Oryctolagus cuniculus: one gene and its partners. The protein of the gene in region 3 purifies or fractionates together with the protein of the main gene of each other region. This does not show direct contact. Links are inferred from orthologs where the notes say so. Each region holds a gene or a part of one and is shown on either strand. Other genes may lie near its edges. The genes, in order: MYOCD, MRTFA and SRF.

Region 1 (3,543 bases), on a different chromosome or scaffold from region 3:
GCACTTTCCTGCTATGACTAGCTTATATCTGTCTCTTTCCTGCCACATCTTCACTGCTCCTTGGAGTTCCCCAAGGAGGAGGGATCTCTGGACCCTTCACACTCGTGACTCCTTCTACCGATCAATTTATGTCATCTCTTCCTTTTTCTCAAAGATACTGCACTATGACCTTATCTCTCTGCTCCTCGCCAGTCCTTTTCCTGGAACTCTATGCTTCTTTCTTTCTCCAACACTATTATCCCTTGTGCCCCTCTTCCAAACTTCAACACAAAACTTGCCTGGTTGTCCGCGGTGGTTTGCAAATAAACCATGGCCATTTTAATCATGATTTCTGAGTTGGCCCCAGAAAATAACTCCCTAGGGATACATCTGGTTCAATGTACCTTGAGTGGACTTGATTCTTTCTGAAATGAAATTTACTGCTGTCTCTGAATCTCATCATTCACTTTGGAGGGTAAGCGGATCCCAGATTTAAACCTGATTCCTGGTACCCACCTTTTGCGGAACACCTGGGCTTTTGGGACAAGCATTGCCTCCAGCACCGTGACTGCTGTCTGCCTGGGCTCCAGGGAAAGAGGGGTGAAGGCTGGAAGATTGAGGAGAGAAGCTTGGAGGGTGGCCATCGTGTGCTCCCGAGTTCTGGGAAAGGCAGAAGTGACAAATTAAATGGCCAGCAGCAGAACACTTCCTTGTGTGTGGTCTCTGTGGTCCTGGCCTGTGTGCCTGGTGTTTTACCTTTGCAAACCTTCCTGAAGTCCATTATCAGATGAACCTGCCTAAACCTGAGTTTGGACAAATCACCTACTACTCACCAACTTCCAAGGGCTCTGGGGTATCCACAGCATGCAGTCTCCATTCGTAACCTGGGTACTGGCGCCATCACTTCTACAAACCTCAGTTCCACTCTTCCCACCACGAGCATCCCTCAACATCCTACCCCCTAAATCTGTCCACGTGGAATGTCCTTTCCTGCTTTCTCTTTCCTTTTTAATGTGGCGCTTCCTGGACAGTCCGTTTCCTTTACAAACTCTCCCTAGAGATTTCCAGCCCTTTATGATCAATCTGTGCCCTGACTCACCACCACCTACTTTGTGCAGCATTGATGTCCTAAGTACAGAGCAGTTGTGTTATCCTATCTTGATCTTCATCTTGCGATCATCGAATTGTTAATGTCTTCAGAGAATCTTTGTAAATCATAAATCACTGTAGACATGCTGGTCTTTTTGATAGCACCAATATCATCAGAATGGAAAGTTATGGCCCAGAACTTTGTCTTGAGCCCCCCCCCCCTTTTTTTTGTTTTTGTCTTTGGTGCGTAGGATACTATGCACTGAACACATGTTTGTTAACAATGATGATAGCCCCTTTAAGTCTCAACTCTTCCCAGAGTACCCTCAGAGGAGTGGGCATCACTGATTTAATGTGTTATTCTGCTAGGTTTGCTAACATTCATTTTCTTTACCTTGAGCTGAGTGCATATTGACAGGGTAGAGATACCCAATGTGAACAGGGCAAGTTCTTTAGACTCAACAGACCCTGGGTTCCTGTGGTCCTGGGCAAGTGGTCTAATCTCTATCAGCTTCCTTTTCCTCAATGGCAATTATTGAACAACAGATTGGAGCACACAGGATCACTGTGACGTTAATGAGATACTTACATCTCATTGCTACTTGAAATGTGGCAGGAATTTTTTTTCTGGGTAATGTAGGTTTCAGGTTTTGATAACGTAAGCACAGTTCAAAAAGATTGTGGAAAATGGAATTAAAAGATACATTTCTTTTAATGAAAATATTTTGAAACCCATGCATAGTTTGTTTCTGCATAATACACATTTTCCATAAACTTTTAGAAGACCCCTTGATTAATTTTTTTCTCAAATTGACTTCTGACAGACTTTCCTTATAATTTTCCACCTTCATGAACACAAGGAGTCTTTGCTGAGCCCCTCGTCTAGTCTTGGAATTAGTAACTCTTGTAAGCCATCTCTACAACTCCTCTCATTCTGTCCCAGCTGTACTGGCCATGTTTCTGATTCCAACTTCCCACACACTCTCACTTCGGGGCCCTCACACTTGATGCTCCTTCTTTGCCTTCAATGCCTTCATCCCAATATTCGTTAAGTTTTCTCTTTTATCTCTAGCAACATTTTGCTAAAATGTCCCTGGCTCCTCGATTTAAAGTTGCAACTTCCAAACCCCTCATATACACCTCTGTGCTTAATACAATGCATGATTTGCATTTTATTTTTGCTTACCATTTGTTTAGCTAGTTCAAACTAGCTAGAGTCATGGCCCAGCACATAGTAGGTGCTCAGTTAATACACTGTGTATACTATTACATGGGGGAAGAGTATGGTTTGGTACTTTTCCCTTGGCCATCCTGATGAATTGGTTTGGCCCATGGTAAGGTTTGATACCAAGAGTCCTGAGAGCTAGGTCAGTAAATCACAGCCCACAAGTCAATTCCTGCTCATTGCCTGGTTCTGAAAATAAAGATTCATTGGAACATAGCCATGTGTATCATTTACAAGATGTCCATGGCTACTGTCATGATGCAAGAGCAAAGTTGAATGGTTGTGATACAGATGGTATAACCCACAACATCCAAAGTATTTACTATCCGGACCTTCACAGAACAAGCCTGCCAAGCCCTGTCTTGGAGGACAGGTGAGTTTGGTCTGCTGTGATGGCTTGGAGTGTTTGGATTTCCTGCTGGGCTTTTGGTAAACCTTAGCATTGAAATCTCCAAGGGAATCCATTTCACATTCCCTGAACGAAGAGAGCAGTGGCCCCTGGTACAAGCCATTCTTACCTGGGCAGAACACACCTGGCTGCTGATGGGCGAGGAGACCCTGTGTCCTTCTCCCTGAGCCCCGGAAGATGACGGGAGGAAGTAATGGTTGTTGGGGGATGGGGGCAGGCTGATGTGCTGGGGGCTCTTCACCACTCCCAGTGGCGAATGCTGAGGGGAGCACTGGGGGCTGAGAAACGTGGAAGAAAGTACATTGGTTTGACCTGAGGACTCCACACAATGGGTGTTTCCAAGGGGCAGGAGCTGGGCAGTCTCGCAAGCTGGCGGTTGACTCTCCGATCCATTATTTTGTCTTTTCACAGATACTGGTTGGGATGCAAAAGGGCAGCTGGAGACAGCGTCTTCCTGCTTGATGGGGGCAGCCAAGAAAGGCAGCGGCTTCTTCTCAGAACAGTTGTTCCTCTTCTGCTTCTGCAGTTGCATTCGCAGCTCCTCCACCTGCCTTTGCTCCTGCTGCAGTTTCCAGGTGAGCTCATTGATCACCTTCTGCTTCTCCACCAGCATCTTGTCCTTCTCAGAATCCAGCCCGTCCAGCTCCGGAGGCCCAGAGCCCCCATTGAGGCTGCTCATAAGACTTTCCTCTGTGCAGACATGGACTGGGGACGGGTGCAGGAAGGAGGGGGAGGCGTCGTTAAAGGCGTCGGGTAGGGATCCAGCCACCGACAGGTCGGAGGAGGCAGGAGAGATGGGGGGGCTGGAGCTGGTGCTGCCAAAGTGGTAGAAGCCATTGGA
Region 2 (3,995 bases), on a different chromosome or scaffold from region 3:
ACCAGGACTAGAACCCAGCACCCATATGGGATGCCGGCACTGCAGGCGGAGGATTAACCAAGTGAGCCACGGCGCCGGCCCCCCCCACCCCGACATATGCTTTCAAATCAGATTTAAGTCCTCACTCACTGTATGAGCCTAAACAAGTTACCTGCCCTGAACCGCAGTTTGCCTCTCCTAGAGACAGGGAAAATCAGCCTCACAGGGGCTTGGGAAGGCTGAAGCAGCACATCACAAGATGAGCTGAAGGCCTGGGGCACAGGGCGCATCAGGAATGCCAGTTTCCTGCCTCTCCCTGGGGCTGGGAAAACCTTCTGACCTCAGCAGCTCTCTTGGAGCCCCTCAGCTCAAACACCATCGTCCCACACAGCCAGAGAAGGGCCCTCTAGCCTCTCCTACAACCCCGGGCTTGCGGCCACAGTGCACGCCCTGTTTACAACCCTCCGCCCCTCCTACCCCTCCCACTGCTGGGAGCTGCTCACAAGCAGGGACATCTCGCTATCCTGATGACCCCTGCTCTCGGAAAAATACCTGGCACATTCGAGGGGTGGAACAAAAGTCTACAGGTGAGGGGCCAGCATCGCGGTACAGTGGGTAAGCCACCTCCTGAGACACGCGCCAGTTTGAGTCCCGGCTGCTCCACTTCCAATTCAGCTCCCTGCTAATGCACCTGGGAAAGCAGTGGAAGATGGCCCGAGTGCTTGGATCCCTGCCACCCATAGAGGACGCCCAGATGGAGTTCCAGGACCCTGGCTTCAGTCTAGCCCAGCCTCGGCTGTTGCAGCCAGCTCAGGACTAAACCAACAGATGGAAGATCTCTCTCTTTCTCCCTCTCTCTTACTCTGCTTTTCAAATAAATAAATAATTTTTAAATAAAAGTCTGCTAAATGAATGCACAGCGTCGTTATCTAAGCAGGACCCACCGTCACTCCTGGGTGACCCAGGTTTTACAGCTTTGCCCTCACAGGCTGAGATCCTGGTTTATGCCCCGAGTCCCTCCCTCGCAGAATCTGACAGCACTCGAAGGACGTGGCAAGTCTGCAGTTGATACTTCTGGATGACGGGGTGTGATTCCAGCATCTCTCCTGATTTAACTCTTAAAAGGCGCACACACCCTAGTGGGAATGACTCTTAGCCTTAGCAGTTACCAGCAAGGACCAGGAGCAAGCGCTGCCGCTACCCCCAGACGCCTCCTTCACGTGTTTATCATTTCAGTAGAAAGCATCAGAAAGCCCTTTGACTTGCAGTGAAAAACGCAAAGGACATCGGGCAAAGCTTACGTTCAGCGACTTCCAGGGCCAGCCGGGCACCTCCTCACTGCTTCCCGCAGTGCCACCCGGAGTTCTGGGGCTCCCCTGCAGGGAAGCCCCTTACTGAACATGCAAGCTGTCCTACAAGCTCCAACTTCCTGCAGAAGCGATCTCAAACGCTGGCAAGCTGGGGACATTCCGAATTTGAAACTGTGTGAAAACGTGGCACCGTAGGTGGCCACACACCTCCCGCTCCTGCCTGGGAGGCGGTTACCTGGGGACCAGGCCGCTCTACATAACACGGAGAAAACAGAGAAATCCAGCCAGAGGCACCACAGCCCGGCCCTTAACTCAACCTCACAACAGCTAACAGCTCCTGGGCCCTGACTGCGCGCCAGGCTCAGATCCGATGGACACGACTACCCCCATTTCCCAGATGAGCAACCCGAGGCTCAAGCTGGCCACTGGCAGATCTGGGAGTCGCCCCGCAAGGTCCAGTCCCAGCTGCTGCACAATACCAGTGCTTCTCCCCTTTTTTTTTTTTTCGTGGTCCCACCGAGGGGCGCAGGGTCAGGCGAGGGGCTGTCAGCAACGCGCACTGACGGACGCTTTCTTACGAGGCTGAAGTTCTCGGCTTGCAAGTTTCAAACCCGCACAGGACCCTGCCCACCTGGCGGGGTTCGGGCTGCCACTCAGGCATCCAGCCCTGATGCGTCTCCTGGCCCGGAGATCCCGAGGGTTGCACAGAGCGCGGGGAACCCCGCCACCGCAGCCGCTGCGCGCACACACCCGGGGCGCAGCCTGGGCGGGAACCCCCGCGCCTCCCCGCCCAGCGCAGCGAGGCGAGGCGAGGCCCGGCCCGGCCCGGCGGGTGCACAGGTGCAAGGCTGCGCCCGAGCGCCCCGGCCCGCGACCCCCGCCCCGACGGACGAGAGGAGTGGGAGCGGCGGGCAGCGCGGGGAGGACCGGCGACGCGACGCCCGCACCCCGGGGGCGCGCGCGGCGTGGCCGCGAGGAGAAAGGATGCGCGGGGCGGCGCGGGGCGGGGCGGCGGTGGGGGAGGGGTCCCCGGCCCGGACTCCCACTCACCGCGGCGCTCTCCTGGCCCGGGCTCCGCGGCTCGCCCGGCTCGGCTCCGGCCGCTCGCGGCTCCTCCCGAGGCTCACCGTCCAGGCAGGGCGCGCGGGGCCGGGGAGAGGTCGGCGCGCGCCGAGGGCGTGTGGCGAGCAGAGCCGAGGGGGTGGGGAGGCAGGGCCGGTCGCGCTCGCCGCCGCCGCCGCCGGGGCCACCACAGACACAGCCGCCGCCGGCTCCTCTTAGCCACGGAAGCTGCGGGCCCTCCCACCACAGCCGCCTCCCGCCTCCCGCCCCGCCCCGCCGGAGGAGTGGCAGCGCAGCTGGCCAATCAGAGGCCCAGTCGGGGCAGGGCTCCGCGGCCCAGAGGGGCGTTCGGGGAAGGAAGGGGAACGAGGGAGGAGGGGACGGCGGCGCGACTTCCTGTGACTGACAGCGCGGCGCAGCCAATGGGCGGCGGGGAGATGACCTCATCGCGGAGGGAAGTCTGGAACTGGCGGAGCGGCTCTGAGGAGGTGGGAGGAGGTCGGACCTTAAAGAGGCCGCAGCCCCTGGCCACCCTGTCAGGGGAAGGGCGGCGGGCCGGGTCGGACAGCCGAGTTGCCGAGGGGTCAATGCCCTGCCGCGAGCCTCCAGACCCCATCCCGAGCCTCCCCTCAGGGGCTCACGCCCCGCCTGAGGCTCCCGAGTCGGGGTTTCACGGTCACGCTTCCCAGAAGACGATCGATTCCCTGAATTCCCGGGCCAGCCCCCGCCCCACCGAGGCCCCGGCGCCCCGGCCCTCGCAGTCGGTCTCCCCAGGTGGGAAGGGGGGCTCCTCCTGACACCTGCCGACCCCCTCCGCCCCGGGGAAAGCGCTCCGGGCTTGGGGAGGGGGCGGCGCGGAGTGAAGCCCCGAGCTTGCGGTCGATCGGGAGACCCCAGGAGCGGGCCAGGGAGGCCGGTGCGGCGGAGGTGTGAGGGGGCCCGAGACCCTGGTGCGGGACTTGCACAGGGAGCGGGAACGCGGGCTACAAGGCGGGCGAGGCCCCCGCTCGCTCCGCACCCTGCAGCCGCGGAGAAGGGCACGGAGCTCCGACCTACTGGGGAGGAAGGGGAGGGGGCGCTTCCCGGAGGCTTCCTGGGATGGGGTCCTCAGGCAGCTGGAGGAGGGGCGAGCAGGGTTTTCTAGGTTCCTGGAGGTCCGGTGCCAAGGCCCAGCGGCTGAGAAGTGGCGCTGAGAGTGAACTCTTAGGAGGACCCCCATCCTCCTCCTGCGGGCTCCTGGGCCTGCGTGCTGGTGTGGGTCTCAGATGGGGGGCAGGGGGGCGCCGCTGCCGTCTGCCAGTGCTGCAACAGCCAGGTGGCCGGGACATTCCGGATTGTTCATGTGTAAGTCATCGTCGGGGCCAGTACCACACGCTGGAGTTAGGATCCACGTGTCAGACACTTTTCCCCCAAGGCAAAAGCACCCTTCCACAAAAGCCCTGGCCAAAAAAAATGAGTTATTCCACAAATATTTACCCTGAGTAAGTCATGGTGCAGGTGATAGAGAGATAAGCTGCCGTGGCCGCCCTGGGGGTGAGCCCACCTCCCTGCAGGGAGGCGGAAGCCGGTGCCCTGGTGACTCCGGGGCAGGAGTGTCTACAGCAGGTGTCCCGAGGACAGTGGACCTGGGAGAAAGGACTGCTC
Region 3 (4,265 bases):
GCTAGTCCTGGACTGGGGAGGGAGTGGGACCCCCTTACCCTTCCTTCCCCTCGCACAGGCGATCCAAACACACCTTGGTCTCCCCACTGCTGTCAGACTCCGACACCTGGTAGGTGAGATCTGTCTCTTCAAAGCCAGTGGCACTCATTCTCTGGTCCGTGGTGGGATCTGAGCGGGGTGGCGAGTCTGGCGAGTTGAGGCAGGTCTGAATCAGCGCCTTGCCGGTCTCACTGGTGATCATGGGCTGCAGTTTGCGGGTGGCAAAGGTATACACATGGCCTGTCTCACTGGCCACCAGCAACAGCACCTGTGTCCCTGTCAGCGTGGACAGCTCATAAGCCTGGGGGATGGGGAGGGAGATGGGCAGGTCAGCAAAACTGTTGATTTCTACCTTCCTTGGGAAGTAGGAGAGGGGAAAACTACTCAGTGAGCGCAACTTCCCACTCCCATAACGACCTTTTGTTTGAGTGACTGGCAGTGTGTGTGTGGGGGGGTCCTATCATGATATCTGAAAGTGAGCTTGAAGCAGCAAGAGGACTCAGGTCCTCTTCCTTTGAGGAGCAGCCCCAGTGACCCACAGACACCCCCAGCAAACAGTCACATCTCGCCAGTGATGGAATATATAACCTCAGGGGACACGGCAGGGGGTAGGGGGAGAGGCAGTCAGCCTCCCCCCAACACTGCCTGGTGCCTGGAGCTTCACAGACCCCCCACCCCTTCCCCACAGTCACAGGGAGCAGGAGAGACCCCTACCAGACTGGACTGCACACCTGACATCCGTGATAAGCACTCACCTAAGACTGCCCATAGCTCTGCCCAGGAACCACAGAGGCCTTAACCTGTTGCCATGCCCTAACTTCTCTTTCTACCCAAGCATACTGTGCTACTCTTTTCTTTGACTTGGGAAGGAAGAAGGATGGGAGGGAGGGAGGCAGGGGGGTTTCCCTTCATGAACCACCTCCCCACAGCCTCCCCACTGATGATCAAGTGACAAGGGACACCAATATGAGAGTATGTAAGGTGATGGCAGGTGGGAGCTGTATTAGCAACAAATACCTTGCCATGAGCCCAGGAAAGGGACCCCCAGGGATGCTATCAACCATCCCAACAAAGTTGCACAACCCACCTTAGGAGCAGTTTGGATTTCCATATGGGACAGACAAAAACACCAGTCACTGTTCCCAAGGTTCTAGTGTTTTTTTTTTTTTCTTTCCCAGTTCCTCTGCTTCTATCCATTCCCATATCTTTCACAACCCCCCCAAAATGACGCCTTTCCTCACCACTTTTCACTGGGTAACTGGCAAATTTCTAGGTCCCTGTGCAAACCTCTCAGATTCCCCCCCCCCCAAAACTCCACGCACAGATTCTCCTGAAGGCTGGGAACCCCACTGGTCCCCCAGGACAGGCAGGTCTGCGGCCAGTCCTGCCTGTGGATGCAGTGCAAGGCACAGGGCAGCGGGCAGCCAGCCTCCGGCCTCGCTCCCCTACCTGGTCCCTCCGCTCGCCTGTCGTCCCGGCTAGCACCATTCCAGTGGTGCCCACCGCCGTCCCACGCAGGCTCCAGCCTGCTCACCTCCATACCTGCTCTTCTGCTCCCCGCTTTCCTGGCGCCCTCCATGGAACCCCAGGGTGCACCGGACCCGTACAGGCTCCCGCGCCTCATCACCCAACACGCGGGCCGCCGCTCCTCGGCCCCTTCACTCGGCCAGGGCCTCTTCCTCTCTCGCGCCGGTCACTCCCACCTCGGCGCCCTTTCCCTCAATTCCGGACGTCGGCGCATCTCCCCTCTCCCCACTTTTCCCCGACAGCCCCTCCCCTCGCGCCCTCCCCTCCCACACACCTCCTGCAGACTCGCCGCCTCTCACCTCCGCCTCGGCGCTGCCTCCCTGAGGGCTCCCCCTGCGCGTCCCCACCCCTCGGGGCTCCCCGCGGCCGGCAGCCTGCCGGCTCCGTACCTTCTTCATGATGCCCGTCTTCCTCTTGCTGAAGGTCGTGTAGCGCCGCAGCTTGTTGTCGATGAACTCCATCTTGATCTTCACGCGGCCCCGGGTCTTCTTGCCGGGCTTGGCCCCGCTCACCGCGCCGCTCACGGGTCCGTAGCCCCCGGCGGCGGCCGCCGACGCTTCGGGCCCACCGACCACCATCTCCATCTCGCTCAGGCTCCGCTTCAGGCCGCGCCGCTCCGCGCCCAGCTCCTCCTCCTCGCCCGACTCCGAGTCGCCCTCGCTGCCGCTGTAGAGGGCCCCCGCGGTGGGCGCCGGGGTCGTCGCCGCCGCCGCTGCAGCCTCCCGCTCCAGGCGGCCCGACCCGAGCCCCGCGCCGTTCCCGGGGACCCGGCCCCCGTTAGCCCCGCGAGTCCCGCCGCCGCCGCCTCCTCCGCCCGGCCGCCCCGTCGCGGTCCGGTTCAGGCTGCCCCCCAGGGCCGAGCCCCGGCCCAGAGCCGCCGCGGCCCCAGCTTGGCTCGGTAACATGGCGCTCAATGCAGGAGGGCGGACGGACAGTCAACGAGGGATCGGAGCCGCCGCCGCCGCCGCCATCGGCTTCCCGGCGAAACCCGGCACTCCCGCTGCTGCTGCTGCTGGTGCCGCTATCCCTGCCGCGGCCGCCGCTGCGAACCCGGGGCCCCTGCACGCCCGGGCCGACCTGGGCCCTCACTTTCCTGCCCCTGTGGCCCGGGTTGCCCCAGGCCGCGCGCAGCGCCCCCTGTCCGTATGCTAGGGCGGCGCGCTCAGCGGCCGTCAGCGTCCCCCGGGGGGCAGGGGCTGCTGGCCGCGGCCGAGACGGCGGGTGGAGGGGGCCGGGACCACGCGCTGGCGGCGGAGGGATCCCCCGACCCTTCCCCCCATATAAAGAGATACAATGTTTCCTTTTATGGCGAGGCCGCTCCTTATATGGTGAGCCCCAGCGCCCCCGCCCTATTGGTCCGCGGTTCCGGCACCTCCGCTCCCCATTGGCCCGCAGGAGGCGCTTATTTGCATAGACATACCGAACTCGCTGCTGTCATCCCGCGTCAGACCGCGATTCCGAAAGGGGAGGAGCCGACGCCTCTTAAAGGAACAGGACGCGAGGCAAGACTCCGCCCCCTAACCCCCCAACCGGAGAATGGTGGAGAATTGGGAGGGACCTGCGGAGGGGCTGCCTGGCAGAGGACCGGAGCGCCGCGGAGAGGGAGCTGAAAGCAAACTTGAGGGAGCCCCCGAGTGGACTGGGGGGTTTGCTGTAAATGAAGAAATCACAGTCCAGATTGCAACGACAGAGACGGGAGCGTTTCCTCACGCCTTCGTGAGGGAGGAAAAGTCACTGGCCGAGCAGCGGGGGCTTGGATCCGAGGTGTTTTGGACATCGCGTCCAGCCGCTCCGGGTTCCAGCCCAGCCCCCAACCCCCTTCCCTTTCCCTCGCATTTCAAGGGGACAGCGCTTTCCCACCAGGCCGGCCCCCGGTCCTCATTCATCATCCTCTGCACTTAGGGGGTCTTTGGTAGACGTACTTACATCTGGAGAAGGCGGGGGAGACGGACAGCCGGCCTCCTCGTCCCCGATGGGGGCAGGGAGGAGAGATGGAGAGCGGTGAAGACTTCCAGCTGCACGCTGGGCTGGGGGAGGGGATGGCCCACGGCGCGGGCGGCGCGGGAGAAAGCGTGGGGGGCAGAAAGTTTAAGCCAAGCACGCTCTTGCTTGAGTTCAAGCAAGTCGGCTCGGGGAGCCCAAGGAGGTAGGGGATTGAAAAGGTGAAGAGATGGGGTGGTATGAGGCCCAAGCTAAGGGTCTGAGTCCGGGTCCTTGCCTCAATGCAGTGAAATCAGGTTGGACTTCGCTGTTACAGAAGTTAGTCCAATCTGCAATCTGCCTCTTGCTAGCCCTGTGAAACAAGGGATGTCGATCTCTCCAAACTCCATACTCCTCAGACCACGAGATTCTTAACACAGGTTCCATGAGAAAAAGACCCAAGAGCAGAGGAAGTGGTCAGGGAAGAGTTAAGAGCAACCTGGGGTAAGTCACCTCTTCCCAGGCATAAACATCCTGGTGACTCCTGCCTTAAAAATCCTTTGTGAAGATTCAATAAAAACAGTTGTGAGCCATCAGGGGTAGTGGTAGTGACATTAGTGTACTGCAACCAGCATTTAAAAAAAAAAATTGGGGCAGATATGGGGCATATTGGTTCAGTCACCCCCTGGGAGCCTCACAGCCCGTACCAGTGCCTGGTTGAGTCCTAGCTACTGGTACACTTCCCAGCTTCCTGCTAACGCACACCCTGGCGGACAGCA

What was found.
Region 1: the proteins of SRF (region 3) and MYOCD purify together in Homo sapiens (affinity purification with western blotting; 3 studies listed by BioGRID and IntAct, with this or other methods). This does not show direct contact. The link is inferred for Oryctolagus cuniculus from reciprocal best matches to the Homo sapiens genes SRF and MYOCD.
Region 2: the proteins of SRF (region 3) and MRTFA purify together in Homo sapiens (affinity purification with western blotting; 4 studies listed by BioGRID and IntAct, with this or other methods). This does not show direct contact. The link is inferred for Oryctolagus cuniculus from reciprocal best matches to the Homo sapiens genes SRF and MRTFA.

What each region holds. Positions count from the first base shown.
Region 1 is NC_091448.1:56,827,166-56,830,708, reverse strand, and holds part of MYOCD (myocardin), read right to left. Parts: coding exon 2,812-3,543; intron 640-2,811; coding exon 496-639; intron 1-495. UniProt on the Homo sapiens protein: Smooth muscle cells (SM) and cardiac muscle cells-specific transcriptional factor which uses the canonical single or multiple CArG boxes DNA sequence. Acts as a cofactor of serum response factor (SRF) with the potential to modulate SRF-target genes.
Region 2 is NC_091442.1:116,748,081-116,752,075, forward strand, and holds the start of MRTFA (myocardin-related transcription factor A), read right to left. Parts: upstream 2,814-3,995; 5' UTR 2,799-2,813; coding exon 2,340-2,798; intron 1-2,339. UniProt on the Homo sapiens protein: Transcription coactivator that associates with the serum response factor (SRF) transcription factor to control expression of genes regulating the cytoskeleton during development, morphogenesis and cell migration.
Region 3 is NC_091436.1:126,878,377-126,882,641, forward strand, and holds the start of SRF (serum response factor), read right to left. Parts: upstream 2,819-4,265; 5' UTR 2,472-2,818; coding exon 1,956-2,471; intron 1,759-1,955; exon of another isoform or gene 1,582-1,758; intron 341-1,581; coding exon 74-340; intron 1-73. UniProt on the Homo sapiens protein: SRF is a transcription factor that binds to the serum response element (SRE), a short sequence of dyad symmetry located 300 bp to the 5' of the site of transcription initiation of some genes (such as FOS).